Linked DNA regions of Macaca fascicularis. The protein of the gene in region 1 purifies or fractionates together with the protein of each later gene. This does not show direct contact. Links are inferred from orthologs where the notes say so. Each region holds a gene or a part of one and is shown on either strand. Other genes may lie near its edges.

Region 1 (3,533 bases):
TTCCTGCGGCGGGAGTACTACCTCACACACGGCCTCTACTTGACCGCCAAGGACGGCACAGAGGCCATGCTTGTGCTCAAGTAGGCCTGGCTGGCACAGGGCTTTGTGGACCTCAGGGGGCTGAGGGGCCAGAAGCTGGGCCAAGCCCTCCAGTCAGAGTTGCCAGCAGGCGAGTGCTCGGGCAGAAGAGGTTCGAGTCCAGGGTCACAAGTCTCTGGTACCAAGAGACCCATGGCTGATAGTAAGGCCTGTGGGGAAGAACTGGAAGCTCCCCAACTTGGACCCCCCCACTTCGTGGCTCTGCACACCAAGGAGCCCCCTCCCAGGCAGGAAGGAGAAGAGGCAGGTGAGCAGGGCTTGTTAGGTTGTAGCTACTTAATAAATGTTTTTTGTTATGAAGTCTACCCTGAGACCACATCTGCATTGCACTCCTAGAGGGGTGGCCCCTAATGTTCTGAACACTACACACAGGTGTGGGTTTCCACAGCAAGCACTGAGGCCACAGAACACAAGTCTGTGCGCCAGAGCCCGGGGATGGTGCAGACAGCCCTACCAGCACCCTTCCCACTCCCAAGCAAGCAGCTGGAGGCACAGGGCCAGGCAGGCCTGAGCAATCTTTATTCTGCAGAGGGACAATGACCACAGATCCATACACCATGTGGAGACCGAGGGGCGGGGAGCCAGGGGCCAGTCTTTCAGGGGTGGGCAGGTCCAGGCGTGGGCAGAGCCTTGGGTGGGTGAGGGGCAGATGGGCAGACAGGCAGGGGCCTAAAAAAAAGATGAACCACACAGCGGGGTGCTGGGGGCTGCTCCCAACCCTCCCCCATCCCAGCCAGCACCCAGAGGGACAACCCTAACACAACCGGCCCAGGATCCACCCAGGGGCAGAGTAGGTGGGTTGCCCTCTGACTAGGGGGGCACATGCCTGCCCAGCCCACCACGGCAGAGGCAGCTCAGTTCAGGAACCAGGAGCTCTCTGGGCAGGGCCTGACCGGGCCCCCCCCACTCCCAGGCCGACCCCCCTACTGCTGGCTCAGAAGCCGAAGGTTTCCTGGGAAGCGTAGACCATGTAGAGGAAGCCGTCCTCGTCTTTCTCCTGCTCGTAGATGTCCGCGATGGGCGTGGACACGCTCACCATGCTGTGCTGGTTCACCAGCAGGAAGAAGGCCTGCGTGGGGTTCAGCTGCAGGCGGCGCCTGAGGCAGGCGGGAGAGTATGTGGCTGTAAGGGGCTTGGCTACGGGGCAACGTAGCCCTGACCCCCAGAATGATTCCCAGCCTTTTACACCCATCCTCACCCCACCTGTCACCTCTGACCCGGCACCGACTGCAGCCCCGACCTTGACCTTTCCAGCCGCCCCAGAACAGGGGTCCACCACCGGTCCCATCACCCCTGACCCCTTCTCGGCGGGAACCCGTCTCCCTTCCCGACCCAAGCCACCACCTGGCAGCGGCTGCCCACGCACCGGATGATCTTGACCAACTCGCTCATGTTGACATGGTCCGGGACCAGAAACTTGGTCTTGTCCAGGACGGGCAGCTGCTTCTCACCCTTGTAGCGCTCGATGATCACCTGGGAGCAGGGCGGGCGGGCAGGGGGTTGTGTCGGGGACGCGCGAGGCGGGGCCGGGGCAGGGCTGGGGGCGCAGGACTTACCGGGATTTTGCTGGGGTGCTGGTCGCGGATCTGCTGTACCTCCTTACAGCGGTCGGCTGCGGACAGCGGCCAGACCGTGAGGCCGGGTCGGCCCGGCCCAGGTCCTCCCCACGTCTCCGCCTGCCTGTCCCCAAGGGGCGGCCCCCGGCCACGCCCCAGCTCCAGCCCCCGCCCCCGGGGCCGTCAGGCCCCACAGCCCCTGGCACCTATCGTGGTGGGGAAGCAGGCAGCCCCCGCCCAGGCCGGAGCCAGCCTCCCAGCCCGAGGGTCCAGCCGAAGCCTGACGTCACGGGGCTGACGTCACCTGCGGCAGTCTGGGTCGGCCGGGCACCCCCCCTCCCCGGCACCCCTACCCCGAGCTCACAGCTCGCCTGCCGGGCCTCACCGAAGCTCCGCCGCTGTTTGAAAGGCCGGTCGGAGGGCATCGCGCGGGCCCGGCTGGGCGCGCAGGCCGGGGCTCTGGGGCGCGGAGATGTGGCTGCGGTTTGGGGGCTCCGGGGGCTCCGTGCCTCGCGCTCAAGGGCTCCGGCGCTCGCGCTGAGCACGGCGGCGGCGGCTGCGGGAGGTAACTCGCCCGGTGACGTCAGGTCACAACATTCCTTAAAGGGGAGGCCGGCGCGCAGCTCCCATTGGGCCGACGCACAACCCGCCCGCCCGGACCCGTGACGTCACGGCGCAGAGAGCCTGGGTCCCCGGCCCGGGACACAAGGGGCGGGGCTCCTGGGCGCGTCACAGTCCCGTGACGTCATGAGCAGCGCGGGAGCCTCTCCCGTGGCCCCGACTCTGGTGAGGCCGGGAGAGCGGTGGGGCCGCCCTGGGCCGATGGAGCGGGTGGGCCAGGCTGCAGCCCCGTGGCACCACTTCCTGCCCTCACCGAGTCTGTGTCAGGACTGACCCGCGGTTCTGGGCACCGTGGGAAACAGCGGGAGCCAAAGGCCCGGCGCCTTCAAGGGGGCTCAGGGCAAGAGAAGGGAGAAGGTGCGGGAGGCACAGTCAGACACAGGATAGAGCAAGACGCTAGAAATGAACGCCCAGGTTTGAAAAAGAATAATATAATTGAAGAGTAGAGCTATCGAAATTCAGGTCTCAGAGGATGTGGCAAGAAGGCAGAGCAGGACAACAGAAGAGAAATCGTGGACCTGGAGGCTGATAGCAAGCAGCTTACCAGAGGACAGGTGATGGAGAATTAAAAGGAAAAGGCCACGGATGGCAACGCCAGGAGAACTCGCAGGCCGGAGCAGAGCTCCACAGGCGAGCACTGAAAGACCTGCAGAGGCAGTTCCTGAATGAGAGCTGCCAGAAATGATGCTTAAAATCCAGAGCAGAAGGCACAGACCGAAGATCAACATCTTTTTTTTTTTTTGAAAGGGAGTCTCGTTCTTGCGCCAGGCTAGAGTGGTGCGATCTCAGCTTACTGCAACCTCCGCCTCCCTGGTTCAAGCGATTCTCCTGCCTCAGTCAGCCTCCTAAGGAGCTGGGATTATTAGGCGCCTGCCACCACGCCTAGCTACTTTTTATGTTTTTAGTAGAGATGGGGTTTCACCATGTTGGCCAGGATGGTCTTGATCTCCTGACCTCGTGATGCGCCCGCCTCAGCCTCCCAAAGTGCTGGGATTACAGGCGTGAGCCACTGCGCCCAGCCGCCAAAATAATTTTTAAAGAATGTACTTCAGTATCAAAGACATGGAACCCAAAAGGAAGAAATTAGATGGAAAAATGGTGAGCAAATTAGTAAACATGTCAGTAAATCTAAACAAGTATTTAATATGCAACATGAATAATGGATAATCTGTGGGCCACAGAAACAAGATGCATGAGACAGAAGAACATGGGAGACTGAGAGGGCAATCAGAGTTAAGGTGTTTTAGGAAGTTCGAT
Region 2 (2,554 bases), about 57 Mb from region 1:
GCGGGCCGGGAAACTGAGGCCGGGGCGGGGCGCGCCGAGGCAGGCGTAGGGGCGGGGCCAAAGCGCAGCCAATGGCCGAGTCTCTGGGCGACCGCGAGCGGCGGGGCGGGGGCGGGGGCGGGGCTGCGGGAGGCGGGGCTGCGAGAAGCGGAGCCGTGGCCCAGCCCCGAGCTATGGGTCAAGGTGCACAGTATGCCGCTCCGCAGGGAAGCGGGCCTCGGGTCTGCGCGACTGGCGAGAGCAGCGGGATCCCCGGGGATCCCGGAGGCCAGGGGCATACCCTCCCCGAAAACACGTGGGGCTAGCCCAGTTCCTGAGGAACTCTAACGTTTCGAAGCTGGAGGAGGAAGGCGGGTGGCCAGTGAGAAGGGGCTACGCCGCCGGGTCCCCCTCCCGCAGCGGCCACGGGCTGGGACTCACCTGCCGGTTTCCACCCACACCTTTCCCGGATTTAGAGTTCCTGCATTCAGCGAACAAGGTCCGGAAAGACCCCAAATGCAAGCGGCTGTATTCTCCTAGGCAGCTTCTCTGGGCGCAGGTCCCACACCCCCAGAGGGCCCAGCAAATCTTTAATGGACTGCGGGGCCTAGGAAACTGGCCCCTGTCCCTCCCACCCACACCAGCACCAAGCAGAGCACCTTTGCCTGGATAAACCGACTTTAATATTTCAGATTGCCAGGAGGCTCAGAGTCCTGTTATGAGGTCCGGTACCTCCAAACAAGACGTGTTCACGTAGTCTTCAAACTGGCCTGGAGGGGGCAGCTCCAGCCAGTCGGGGGCGCCCAGGAGGAATCCCTGGCTCCAGCAGGAGGGCCCAGAGTCCAGACCCTGCTGGCGGCTGAAGATGGTCTTGCGCTGTCAGCCTCTACCCTGGCCTCCCCAGGCTCTAGGATGGCTCAGAGGTTGCCATCATTGGGTTTCACCAAAAATAAATATTGTCCAGGTGTCCCTGCCTCCCACTGCGGTCCCCTGTGCTGCTGGAGTGACACACTCCTTGGAGAAGTTAGTAACTCTGCAGGTAGAGTGGGTGGAGACAGCGCCCACTACACGCAGAAGTTGTACATTGGAGGCTGGTGAAGTTGGGAGCACAGGCATATCCATAGGGGAAGCTGGCAGGGCCTGCTATCAACCTCAGCTGCTGGCCTGCAGAGGGGGAAAGCCCACAATGAGCAGAGCTCTTCCTGCCCATGGGGGTCCTCTCCTGGCTACCCTGAGTAGCTGGGGCCCAGGAAGCAGGGTCTATAGGACCAGCCCTTACCACCCAGAAGCTGAGGCACCGAGAGAGTAGGCACCCAGAGGCAAGGAGTGTGTGGTCAGCCAGAGAAGCTGGCCTGGCTAGAGGATAAGCTAGTCCCCAAATGGGACACTTACTTAGTGCAATCAGCTGGGTCTCATTCATGCCCATCAAAATCTAAAAAAACCAGAATGGCATTAATGGTGGAGGGACACACTCAGCAGGAGGCTTGAGACCCACCAGCATGCTACACACTCACACCACATCCTCAGGCCTGCGTTGACCCAGCAGTGTCCCAGCACCCCACAGTCTCTCCAGTCTGCTCGACAGCCAGGCTGCCCTGGGCAGGTTCTCAGGTGCAAAGTTCCTCCCAGCACACACCAGCAACAGCCTTGCTGCCCAGGGGCCAGGCCCAGCAGGACACAGCAGCAGTTCACAGCTAGGCAGGCAGCCCCATCGGAAGGCAGGCACCCTTACAGCAGGGAGGACAGTGGCCATGCCAACATTCCTGGACGTACACATCTCCACACCCAGCAGCCAGTGGGATCCTTCCAGCCCCCACCCATCTATTCCCATCCTCATTCAAAGCCCAGCCAGGAAAGGGCAGTGGGACTTTGACTCCCTCCCTTCTCCCTCCCCAGGGGGTTGGGGGCTACAGGTGACACCTACCAAACATGAGAGGGGCCGGCTCCATCACATGCTCCTCTTGCTTGTGCAGACTCTCCAAGGCATCCAGTCTGTCCACCTGCAAGGAGGCGAGAGCATGTGAGCACCTGCTTGACAGAGTGCAGTCCCGGCCTCTAGGTGAAAGTAGAGTGGAAGGTCAGGACACAGGGCCTCCAGGAGAATGACAGTGGAGGAGGTGCACATGGGCAGAGGTGGAGTGGCTCAGTCCTCACCCCATGCACTTTTATAATGCAGCAAGGCATGGAGAGGTGAAGCCTCAGTAGCTGGGCTGAGATGGAGCAAAAGGTGGGGCCCCCAGAGCTTCCCAGTGGGGACTGGGGCAGTCAGTTGTTACAGGCTGTGAGTGTGGCCTGCTTATGGGGGGCCAAGTCCTCCTCTGGATACAGGGACACTGCCATTTACTGACTTGCAGGGCTGGGATGTGCAGGGAACACTGCCTGCTGCTGAATCCAGTCAGTCTAGTCTGCCCGCCCCTCCAAACCAGCAGAGAGATCATGTGGCTCTCAGAGACAAGTCACCTGGCACCTAGACACTTCACCTGAGAAGTACTGAGGACAAACTGCCTCCTCACTCTTCCCTGAGGCTTCACCAGACACTGACCCCACCCATGGCCAGAGAGTGAGGCGGCAGCAC

The links. The genes of interacting proteins can lie anywhere in the genome.
Region 2: the proteins of MAP1LC3A (region 1) and CLTCL1 purify together in Homo sapiens (affinity purification with mass spectrometry; 3 studies listed by BioGRID and IntAct, with this or other methods). This does not show direct contact. The link is inferred for Macaca fascicularis from reciprocal best matches to the Homo sapiens genes MAP1LC3A and CLTCL1.

What each region holds. Positions count from the first base shown.
Region 1 is NC_088384.1:90,598,381-90,601,913, reverse strand, and holds MAP1LC3A (microtubule-associated protein 1 light chain 3 alpha), read right to left. Parts: upstream 2,232-3,533; 5' UTR 2,081-2,231; coding exon 2,020-2,080; intron 1,712-2,019; coding exon 1,656-1,711; intron 1,573-1,655; coding exon 1,466-1,572; intron 1,197-1,465; coding exon 1,034-1,196; 3' UTR 596-1,033; downstream 1-595. Other genes in the region: PIGU (phosphatidylinositol glycan anchor biosynthesis class U protein), read left to right, coding at 1-84. UniProt on the Homo sapiens protein: Ubiquitin-like modifier involved in formation of autophagosomal vacuoles (autophagosomes). While LC3s are involved in elongation of the phagophore membrane, the GABARAP/GATE-16 subfamily is essential for a later stage in autophagosome maturation.
Region 2 is NC_088384.1:33,664,131-33,666,684, reverse strand, and holds the end of CLTCL1 (clathrin heavy chain 2), read right to left. Parts: intron 1,980-2,554; coding exon 1,904-1,979; intron 1,412-1,903; coding exon of another isoform or gene 1,392-1,411; exon of another isoform or gene 1,372-1,391; intron 1,144-1,371; coding exon 1,004-1,143; 3' UTR 640-1,003; downstream 1-639. UniProt on the Homo sapiens protein: Clathrin is the major protein of the polyhedral coat of coated pits and vesicles. Two different adapter protein complexes link the clathrin lattice either to the plasma membrane or to the trans-Golgi network.